3 linked regions of the Cricetulus griseus genome follow. The protein of the gene in region 2 interacts with the protein of the main gene of each other region in a biochemical or structural test. Links are inferred from orthologs where the notes say so. Each region holds a gene or a part of one and is shown on either strand. Other genes may lie near its edges.

Region 1 (3,746 bases), on a different chromosome or scaffold from region 2:
TAGGGAAATGCAAAGCTTTGCAAGCGTCTGCACATTTACTTATTACAGAAAACAAACAAAACAAAAGCTCGAATACCCAATGTCAGCTGTGGGACAGACGCACTGTACACACACACACAGGTTCTCTCCCTAAAGCTGCTCGAGCCAGCCTGGGAGTCCCGGGATGCACCCAGAATTGGCCCGGCTGCTGTGTTAGTCTCTGCGATCCCTGAGCTACAGACACGGGGTTGTTGGGGAAAGAAAGAGCCCCAGGCAATGCCTGGTTTGGTATCTGTGTTTTACCACCTTGGTCCCTCACCATCAAATCTTGAAGGGTATCGCCAAATCGGCTCTGGGTACTGGAAAGAAAGGGCCTAAGAGCTGGGCCCCAGCCCTGTCGCAGCCTCTCAGGATGCCCCTAAACAAGAAGCTGGAGGAACAAAGGGGAACTCCCCTCTTCCCCGACAGAACCAAGTCTTTCTGCCGGCGCATAACCGTCAATCGGAGAACCGTAGCTTCAGCCGAGGCGAGCCAACCTGGGCCGGGAGTGGAACAGTACAGCCTCTAGAGCGACTAGGCTCTCCGCAGGCTCCCAGCTCCCGATTCCCACTCCCTGCCTCGTACAGCGCTAGGCGCTGCCACCTAGAAACTCTCAGGACCCAAAGAGGGGACCCAGGACCATGGGAGCCAGAAGAGTCCTAACTTCCAAGCGTGCCAAGGACGCCTGAGATGCCAGGCCTCTAGTGGGGAGAATCTGCTTGTCTCTCAGCTACATTTGTGATTTACTTTGGTCTTTCTCGGAGCCCAGGAAAATAACTACGGAGATACTAGGCACTGCCACGAAATGATTCCATTAGTTCCCGCAATTTATTCCTGGAGGTCTAAGCAAGACCCCAATAGCTCTACCCAGGGATCCCAGCTTTCAAACAGCCTCAGAGGCTGCAGAGAGTCAGGGCCCACTCTCTGGGTTCACCAAGAACCTTGCTACCTGGGACCCGGCTGGCTGGAGGAACCGGACCAGGGATGAAGATATTCCGAGCTGGATAAATAATCAAATCAGATAACAAACTAATGACACGAAAAACATATTTACACGAAAGAAAAATCGACTCTGGTTATACGAGTGTATGGAATTTGACCTCGCCTCGGAGAAACACTACACAAAAGCTGTCTTTAATAGACGCCTGTCGTTTAAGAGCGGCAGGGACACTGTCCTTCACGCGCTCACAAAAACAGAGCCATAATTGCGGCTGCTGCTGTGGGAAGGATTTATTTCTTCAATTGGGTAAATGGTCTTCCATTCCCCGAAGGTGATATCTGTGTTTTCAAAATTCACAGCTGCGGGCCGGACGGGCAGAACCTACCCCAACCTCTACACAAAAATAAGAGGGTCTACAAAGCCAGGGAAATAAAGTTGTTGTAAATAATTCCAAGTCACCACCTCCCCCTAATCCTCCGTATCCTCGCCGGGCGTGCGATCGGCAGCTGACGGCCTCACAATTGGTACATCCTAATGGAACTGCGAGGGAAATGCAATAATTTTGCCATAATGGGCTGTAACCTCAATTCGACCCCGGCCCTTGCAGCCCGAGGTCGGAAGCGATGTGATGCTCCCTGCCTCCAGAGGGTGGCGCTCGAGTCCGACTGAACGGCGGCTGCGGGTGGCGAGCACGCGCCCAGGGCGCGCGCGCCACCCCTCTCGCCTCCACCCAACTCCCCCATTAGTGCACGAGTTTACCTCTAGAGGTCATCAGGCAGGATTTACGACTGGACAACAAAAGCACGTGATTCGAAGTCGTACCCCATATTTGGGTGCCTACGTAGGAGGGAACCGAGTACATGTCCCAGTCATTTCCATAATTCATCATAAATTGTGCAAGGGTGCTATAGACGCACAAACGACCGCGAGCCACAAATCAAGCACACATATCAAAAAACAAATGAGCTCTTATTTTGTAAACTCATTTTGCGGTCGCTATCCAAATGGCCCGGACTACCAGTTGCATAATTATGGAGATCATAGTTCCGTGAGCGAACAATTCAGGGACTCGGCGAGCATGCACTCCGGCAGGTACGGCTACGGCTACAATGGCATGGATCTCAGCGTCGGCCGTTCGGGTTCCGGCCACTTTGGCTCTGGCGAGCGCGCCCGCAGCTACGCGGCCGGGGCCAGTGCGGCGCCCGCCGAGCCCAGGTACAGCCAGCCGGCCACGTCCACGCACTCGCCTCCGCCCGATCCGCTGCCCTGCTCGGCGGTGGCCCCCTCGCCCGGCAGCGACAGCCACCACGGCGGGAAAAACTCCCTGGGCAACTCCAGCGGCGCCTCGGCCAACGCCGGCAGCACCCACATCAGCAGCAGAGAGGGGGTTGGCACGGCGTCCGCAACCGAGGAGGACGCCCCTGCCAGCAGCGAGCAGGCGAGCGCCCAGAGCGAGCCGAGCCCGGCGCCGCCAGCTCAGCCCCAGATCTACCCCTGGATGCGCAAGCTGCACATTAGTCACGGTAAAGCCAGACGTTTTCTGATCCACGCGTCCGTGGGGGCGCGGGTCTCGGTCACCCTCTGTTCTTTGCAGCCTCTCTCCGGGTCTCTCTCCTAGTCTCGCCTCTCTCCAGCCTGCAGAGCCTCTCCCTGCGGTTCTCCTTCCCCTGCCTTTCTCTTTACTTCCTCCCCATTACTGCAGCAGCATCCTGTATTCGCAAATACTGGGGGGAGGAGGGGGAGAATGGGGTAGCCGAGCAAGTTTAGATGTTGTTGAAAGAGGAAGAAATTCCATCTGGAATCCCAGCGACTCGGAGAGCGCTTCAGGGTCAGGCCGGCCGAGCAGGGCTTGGAGAGAGGTAGGGATGGTAGTAGGGGCCGTGAATCGGGCTTGTCAGGGTGGATAATTTATGAGAAGGGCTACGCTGGGGAAACAGCGTTACTAATTAGAGCCCCTAAAAGGGGCTTGGGGGGAATAATCTAGGCGAGGGCAGGCGAGATTCTCAAGTTTGGGGGCAAGAGAGAGAGGGAAGGAAAGAGAGGAAAAAGAGAGCGGGCGCCCCAAGCGTACAGGCTGGAACAGGAGGCGGCTAGAGCGGCTGGAACTTTAACGGAGAGTGACCTGGAGGCCACTTGGGAACTCAGAAAAAGACAGTGCTTCGGTGCGGTGGGCAGCCAGAGAGGGCAGTGCCCCTGCTTATGACAACTGGTGCAGGGCCAAAGAGCAGAATGGGGGCGAGAGAGAGCCAGGCTGTCCTTCAAGACAGGGTTCCAGCCTCAGGTGGGCCGGTTGTATCCAGAGTCCAAATCATGTTGTTTTTCTCTTCAGAAAGGAAGAGAGAAGGAAATTCGGAAAGGACAGGCGGGGAGGGAGGGAGAGAGGGAGGGAGGGAGGGAGGGAGGGAGGGAGGACTTGTTGAGCCTCTTTCCCAGCTCAGGACCCTGGCTGACTCTTGGAACCAGGTGCTGAGGAGTTAGTTGGTGGCTAAACCGCTCACTTTTCTGTTGCAGACAACATAGGTGGCCCAGAAGGCAAAAGGGCCCGGACGGCCTACACGCGCTACCAGACCCTGGAGCTGGAGAAGGAATTCCACTTCAACCGCTACCTGACCCGCCGAAGAAGGATTGAAATAGCGCATGCTCTTTGCCTCTCCGAGAGACAAATTAAAATCTGGTTCCAAAACCGGAGAATGAAATGGAAAAAAGATAATAAGCTAAAAAGCATGAGTATGGCTGCAGCGGGAGGGGCCTTCCGCCCCTGAGCCTGTGGGCGCTCAAAGTACTGAGC
Region 2 (3,746 bases):
AAAACTACATGGTTTTACACCAAGTCACTCACAAAAGTTTTTGTTTTAAGTCAGACTTCCCTGCAACATCAACAATAGAGAACGACAACAAAAATCAGAATCTGCAGGTGCCTTGAGGAGGAGTCTACAGGGTGGAAACCAAAGGCTCCTTTAAAAATGTTTATATATGTATATATATGTATATATTTCCATTCTCTTCCCTATTTAGAAGGACAGATCACCGTGGACCATCTATTTAGGGGCACAGGCAGTTGGGTGAGACTGCATTCTTAGGGCCTGAAGTGTGGTGACTACTTCTTCCTCAAAGCTCTAAGTCTCCAGGCAGCCTCTCTTTTCTCTGGTCCTTCTCCTGGTGGCCAGAGCTAGCCAGGCCTAAAGCCATCTTCTTAGGAGGAGTTCATAATAGGCCTGGAGTACACTCCCTGGTAGTAGGAGGTGTCTGCAGCCAGGGGCGAGGCATCCAGGCCCGTTTTGTTCGTGACTGGGCCCATGGCCAAGCTGCCTGGCATGGGGGAACCATAACCCCCAGGGTAGTGCATGACTTGTTCATAGGCTTTGAGGTCCATTTTGTGGGGTTGATGGTGGTGGTGGCTGTGGTGGTGTTGCTGCTCGGAGGACATGAGGTTGTTGATAGAGAAGGGGTGGTTGAAGGCGTAATGGTGCTCTGGCTTCAGGTGGGCCTCCGGTGGTAGGCCCGGGTGGTGAGGTGGGCCCAGTAGGTGAGCTGCAGCTTGCTGCTGCTGCTGCCCAGGCGAGGGCGCCGGCTCTGGGGGACTCAGCGCGGAGGCCGGTGTTCCCTTCAGCTCGCCCAGGCCGCCTCGCTTGTGCTCCTGACATGGTGAAGAGCTGGAATGGGGGGACTCGGTGCCAGTCGGAGTCTCGGAGGCCGAGCCCGCGGCTTCTCCGATCTGAGCCTGCGAAGCCTGGGTCCCAGCAGCTGTCTTCTTGCCTCCGACACCGCCCGCACCCGCGGCTTCCTTCAGCGCCAGCTGCTTCTCACACTTGAAGCGTTTCTGGCGGCGCAAGTAGCAACCATTCTCGAACATGTTGCCCGAGTCGGGGTGCAGGGTCCAGAAGGAGCCCTTGCCGGGCTTGTCCGGTGAGCGGGGCACCTTGAGAAAGCAGTCGTTGAAGGACAGCGAATGACGGATGGAGTTCTGCCAGCGTTGCTGGTTCTGTCGGTAGAAAGGAAAGAGGTCCATGATCCACTGGTAGATCTCGCTCAGCGTCAACATCTTGTTGGGGCTCTGCTGGATGGCCATGGTGATGAGCGAGATGTAGGAGTAGGGAGGCTTGGCGTGTGTGTAGCTGCGTCGGTATGTCTTGGGGTCCCGCGCGCGGCTCAGGCCCGCCTGCCCGTACATGGGGCTCATTGAATTCATGTTGGCATAGGGAGCAAGGCCACCCATGGCCCCGGCCGCCTGTCCCCCGAGTGGGCTCAGACTTGGACTCAGGTGCGGTCCCATGCCGGCCACGCCGGCCGCCCCAGCTGAGCCGCTCATGCCCGCCATTGCGCCCGCGCCCGGAGACATGCCAGCTAGGGACGGGCTCATTCCAGCTCCCACATACGATGACATGTTCATGGAGCCCGCGCTCATGTTGCCGGAACCGCCTCCCATAGCGGCCGCGGACATGCTCATATAAGTGTTCATGCCGTTCATCCCCAGGCCGGCGTTCATGTTGCTCACGGAAGAGTAACCCTGAGGACAGAGCCCGGGGAGGAGACTGGTTAGCACCTAGGCTGAGCGTGTCAGACCCCCGCCTCCATACACACACCAGTTGGACCTAGTCCTCCACCTTCGTGGAGGCTTCTGGGGATCTCTTTATTTCTCTGGATCCCAATCCACCAACACCAAGTCCTCGGTACCTCAAAGAGAGCAGCAGTACGGGTGATCATCCGAGGAGAGGTGGCCAGGGGACTTGTGGCTCACTTCACGCCCAGATTCTAGAATATCGGTGCCCAGGACCACCACCAAGTCAGGCGCCCCAAATGGATTTTACTATCCTCAGAGACTCTACCAACCCCCCCACCCCCGCCGCCCCCGGGTAGCATACTGAGTCAGCACCAAGACTGGAAATCTCTGTTGCTATCCCTGGTCGCCAAAAGCCACCTTTGGAACGTCACTGGGGCGATCTCAAGTGGTAATACTCCCAGTGTCCCCTATTCTGGACCTTCGTACTGGGACCCCACTCCTTAGTCACAGGGGAGTGAAGGGCAGTGGCTGCGCAGAGCCCGTGGGCAGTTGGAGGCATTGCGTGGAGGAATAGGGAAGGGACCGCCAAATCGGCTAGGAACTGTTAGTGTCCGGGCTTCGTAGCCACAAACTTTCTCTTTGTCCACAGTCTTTGACTCTTTGCCTGCACCTCTGTCCCCAACTCCTACCCACCTTCTCTTTTCCAGCTCCCCACCCCCTCGCCAGCCGACCTCCCACCCCTCCCCAGCCGCGCGCTGCCAAACATAACTCTGTTAGGATAGTGCGTGGCTCGGCCACGAAGAGGATTTGGAGGCGCCGCAAGTCAATATTTGATCACAAAGTTAATATTATCTCAAGGCTAACAGTGTGTCGTATAAAAAAGAGACCCATTTGAGTCGAAGGAGGGCGGAAAAGGCGGCTGTCCAGGAAGACTAGAGGTGGGGGGGGGGCGACTGCCCCTGAAGGGAGCGTGCCGAGGCTGGGGACGCGGAGATAGCTGCCACCCCACTTTCCCCGGGCGAAGGCAAGCGCTTACCTCCGGCTCCGCGTAGTAGCTGCTCCAGTCGGATGGCTCGTGCCCTTCCATCTTCACGGCTCCCAGCATACTGGAAGCCGAGTGCATGGCGGTTTAAAATTTAACAGCCACAACAAACGACCAGCAATCAGCCCCCACCCCCACCCTCTTAAAAAAAAAAAGTCAGCTAAGGCACCGTCCCCTCCCTCCCGCCCTCTCTCGCGCTCGCTCGCGCTCTCTCTCTCCCCCTCTCTCTCTGGGCTCCACTTCCTCTCTCTCCCGCGGCCTGCCGCGGGAGGTAGCTGGGAGTGGGCGGGAAGGTGGCTGGCGGAGGAGGGGGCCAAAGAACCTAGGAGGCTGGAGCCCGAGCCCTGCCGTCGGGCGTGCCCTCCGTCGCCGCGCTCCCGGGGCTGCCGGTGCTGGCTGAGGCTGGCAGTGTGGAGCTGCCGGGAGGCGGCGGGAAGCTAGCGGCGCGGGGGCGGGCGGGGGGAGAGCAAGAGGAGGGGGAGGAGGAGGTGTGGACCGCACAGCGGACAAGTGCCGCAGTGACGTGGGCGGCTGGTGATATAGCGCGGCGCGCTGGCGCAGGCCTCCAATCCCCAGACCCCGGGCAGCCCATTTGAATAATCAGCTCACACTTAGGTGAGAGGAAGCCGGGCCGGCTCTCAGCACCTGCCGTTCCCCGCCCAGAGCTAGCCCAGCTCCCGCTGTCCGCCTGCACTCCCAAGACCCGAACCTGCAAGCAGAGTCGGGGGCGCCCTGGTGGAGTCCCTTTCTTTGCGTCCACGGGGAGTCTTCCGTGGACGCAGGGACCTGGGATCAGGCCACCCCTGGAAAAGCTCTGGACTCCTGCTCCTGCCCCACCCCCCTTTTCTCCCTGAGCACCCGGGGCATCAATCCGAGGGCGCGGACGACCTCGGTGCCCCGCAGAGCCGAGGCTAGCCAGATTGATTTATTCCGGCTTTCTTTCCTGTCGGCGCTCATTCCCTGTCAAAACAACAAACAGGTGACAGCCAATTTGCTAAGAGCTGTCTTAT
Region 3 (3,746 bases), on a different chromosome or scaffold from region 2:
AAATTCTGCCTGCCACTTTGAAAATTCTCTTTAGCAGCCTTGTACATCCTCCGCAATGCAACAACTTAGGATAGAAACTACTGGCATTTGTCTTAGCTACAGTTCATTTTTTGGAGAGGATGGGGCAGACATGTCTCCTCATACAGCTAGTTGTCCTGGAACTTACTCTGTAGACCAGCCTGCCTCTGTCACCCTAGTGCTGGGATTAAAAGTGTGACATTGACTACAGGTCATTGACTATTTGGATGCTGTAACTGTAATGCCCCCAAGGCCAAGCTCAGCACCACTGATATCCTAAGCCATTTTGTTTACAATGAGGGCTTTAGGTCAAGAATTACAAGTGCCAAAACTTTTTCCAACCAAATGCTTAAACTTTTTCCAACCAGCTTTGAAAAATCCTGTTTTCTGCTTTGTAGTTCACAGTGACGTCTGGCACTTTCAAAAACATGTCCTGCCCAAAGGAAAGTGTCATATACGTATAGATGAGGTGCCAAACACCAACTCCACATGGGGTTTGCTCTACAGTCAAGAGGTAGCTGATTTTTTCTTCCCTTCAGGGTAAAAAATGTGGGAGAAACTAGAGCAAGAAAGGGGGTATCTTCACAGATATTAAGAATAAAAAATTTTGTCTGTTAAATAACAGCTAGGAAACTGTGTCCTCAATAAGTCACACACACAGTATCAACTTATTTGGTAAAAGCACTCTTTCTGACTGTCATCAAAGCAGGTATGGCCTGGAGAAAGTTACTCGCTCTATCTCTTCATGTACTTAAAAAGAAAAAAGACTGTCCCGGTTTCCCATTCACGAACATGATGGCCACACAAGGACCATGTGACTGACTATCCTTGAACTTTGCCCTCGACTGGATATCTCCAACTGCAGGGACTCTGAGATCCAAAGTCTCTATCTAGTACTTTTGTGTCTGCAGCTGAATTGCTGCTCTAACCTTGCAACCAGGCCAGAAGGCCCTGGTTCACTGGATTAAGAGGGGCAGAGAGCAAATGGAGAATGGTTCACTGGCTCCTGAATGTTTAGAATTTCAAGCTCCTCTTTGGCTCAAGAGCTGTATACACCAAACTTCAGAGAGGACGTGTCTACATGTCCTACCTGTACCCTGGACTCGGGCAAATTGATTTTCAGCGCCACCTCCTCCCGCATGAAGATGTCTGGGTAACGAGTCTTGGCAAACAGAGCTTCCAAAACGTCCAGTTGTGCCCTGGTGAACGTAGTCCTCTCCCGCCGTTGTTTCCGGGGGGTGGCTGCAGGACAAGAAGCCCAGGGCCCTTTAGGGTGGGGGAGCAGTTTCTCAGTCACGGGACTTTTGCCTCGGTGCACGACTCCCCAACCTCCCACCGCTGAGGATCCCCACCCCCTCCAGAGCAGGACACACAGAGCAGGACACACAGTGTCGTGTCCCCGCAGTGCAGTATCCCCCGCCTCCCATTGCAAGTGTCCCCTTGAACTACAGAGCACCACTGGAGAGCTAACAAAATAAACCGAGTAAAGACAATTCCCACCCTCATGCCCAATTCTGGAAACAAACAAGAAACAACCGACAGACCACACTGCCAACAGAAAAGGCTGTCTGGTAAAGTTAGAGGCTATGCAAGGACCAGAGGCTAGAAATGACTGGGCGAACGTGGAGCCAGTTCCCACGGTATTTTAACACTGCAAGGACCTTTGTTCTTGCATCTTTAAAATACAACAATAGTTCAGACTTTTATGAGTATTTGGTGCCGGGTGGGGAGGAAAGGTGCCTAGCATCTGGAGGGAAGCCACACCTCCAAGGATTAAAGGAGGGGGCCTGGAGGCACCAGAAACCCCTGGCAAATCTGAAGAACTATAGGGTACAGTAGGGAAGAAAACTTGATCACTCTTAGGGTGGTACTAGTTAGAAACTGGGCGTGGAGACTAGGCAAAAGCATATTCAAGTGACAAGGTCAACAACCTTTCACGACCCTGCCCAATGAGTGTCCCCCAAGCCTCTCTAATTTAAGAATGAAGCGGTGTGACTTTCTGTGACTGCTGCAAACCCCAGACTCGTCTCTTCCCAGCTTCTTGTTCCCTCTTGGGTCAGTAAATGCCCAGTGGCTCTCGGCTGCTTCGTGACAAGCAAAACGCAGTGGGGACCCTGTCTGGAGCTTGAGTGAGGGCAGTGAACCCTCCAACCTCCGAGCTCCTGAGGGGTGAGCGTGGTGGTGAAGGGCGTTGAGAATGCCGTGTAACTCACTTACCCGGGTAGCCCACGGAGGGATGCAGCAAGTCCATACCCGAGGTGGTCAGACTCAGCCCATTGACTGCGTAAGGCGGTTGCTTTAGATAAGACATCATGCTAAGGTTGTTTGGAGGCGCAAAGTCGGCCCAAATTGGGGGAACCCAGCCGGACGGTCGCGATTCGCCTGGAGTGGACAGGGTCAGTGTCCTTGGTGGGTGGGTTTGGAGTGATGGAACTAGGGGCAAAGCAAACAAACAGAGATGCTGGTTTACTGCTTCTGAGGGAGCAGCTTCCTCCACGTTCCATCACTAACTAAAGAGAGCCAGGGTGACGCTAGACACAGGCTTTTAAAGGACTTGCAGATGCGCCCCCCGCCGTCCCCTCAACCCCCAGCAGCTCCAAAACTAGAGGGGATGGAGCGAGACCAGATAAACCTGTCTTCCCCACCCCCACCCCAAACTTAACAAAAAAAAAAAAAAAAAAAAAAAGACCCGAGGAAAGCAATTACAATCTGCCTTCCCCAAGAACAAAACCCCACGCCTCCAAATGCACACATTACATTCCTAGCCCAACATTTGCATAGGACTCATTGGCTGGCACTAGCTAATTGTCTCAAACAAAACTTGATTGGGGCCATTTGCAGAGACAAAGAACTCTTTGGCTAAATAAATAATGCTGATAACAAAGCCCATTGGTGAGAAACAAAGAAACAATTCAAGAAATCTACCTCTTCCCAGACTGTTGCCTTTCCCTGGCAGAGATTTTAATTATCTTAGCTTTTTTTTTTTTATTACAACTTTCAACTGCTGTGAAACTAAAATGTAAATGTATTTAACATTTAAAATACCAACTTAACATTTAAAATACCAACTTGCTGAACAACAAACTTGAGAAAACTGCCCAACCGCTATTATTCCACATTTGAAGTCATTTCCAGTAATCATTTTCACCTAATTAGTAGTCTGGATAATTAGATTTCGAGGTAAGTAACAGATTTATTAGGGTTTTGTAGGACCTTGATTATATGTGTCTAAAGAACTATAGCTAAACAAACAAGTATTTAACTTTTAAGCGACACCCATCAAATATTTAATTTAAACATACTGCAAAAAAAAAGTCTTAAAGATTAGCACAGGGCTTGCCAGAAATGTTGAAATAAAGTTAGAATCCCACCAATCAGAAAAAAAAGTTGGCACCCACATTTTGCAAGTGGGAAGCGCATTGGCAGAGCAAGCTGCTTCCATGTTGATTTGATGGGGCTGCAGATCCTGGGGGAGGCAGATTTTGGGGATTTGGGGTTCTCAGAGGCGGCCCCCTCTGATTCCTGCTAACTGGAGCTGTCTTCCCCACACTTTAAGTTTGAAGTAGATAAATATTCAAAGCTACGAAACTACTAGGAATTCTCTCTACCTTCCAAATGTTCCATAATTACATATGAAAAAGAGATTGGGGGAAGAAAAGGAAAAATCTTTCTGTTCCTCTGCTGAGTCCCCTCCCCCAGAGCTATGTTAATATAGGCAGGCAGGCAGC

The links.
Region 1: the proteins of Foxa2 (region 2) and Hoxa5 form a complex in vitro, tested with the Homo sapiens proteins (2 studies listed by BioGRID). The link is inferred for Cricetulus griseus from reciprocal best matches to the Homo sapiens genes FOXA2 and HOXA5.
Region 3: the proteins of Foxa2 (region 2) and Otx2 form a complex in vitro, tested with the Homo sapiens proteins (2 studies listed by BioGRID). The link is inferred for Cricetulus griseus from reciprocal best matches to the Homo sapiens genes FOXA2 and OTX2.

Annotation. Positions count from the first base shown.
Region 1 is NC_048601.1:89,139,838-89,143,583, forward strand, and holds the start of Hoxa5 (homeobox protein Hox-A5), read left to right. Parts: upstream 1-1,553; 5' UTR 1,554-1,586; coding exon 1,587-2,481; intron 2,482-3,469; coding exon 3,470-3,720; 3' UTR 3,721-3,746. UniProt on the Homo sapiens protein: Sequence-specific transcription factor which is part of a developmental regulatory system that provides cells with specific positional identities on the anterior-posterior axis. Also binds to its own promoter.
Region 2 is NC_048599.1:30,936,967-30,940,712, reverse strand, and holds Foxa2 (hepatocyte nuclear factor 3-beta), read right to left. Parts: upstream 2,818-3,746; coding exon 2,731-2,817; intron 1,701-2,730; coding exon 387-1,700; downstream 1-386. UniProt on the Homo sapiens protein: Transcription factor that is involved in embryonic development, establishment of tissue-specific gene expression and regulation of gene expression in differentiated tissues.
Region 3 is NW_023276807.1:204,712,250-204,715,995, forward strand, and holds the start of Otx2 (homeobox protein OTX2), read right to left. Parts: upstream 2,333-3,746; coding exon 2,236-2,332; intron 1,285-2,235; coding exon 1,109-1,284; intron 1-1,108. UniProt on the Homo sapiens protein: Transcription factor probably involved in the development of the brain and the sense organs. Can bind to the bicoid/BCD target sequence (BTS): 5'-TCTAATCCC-3'.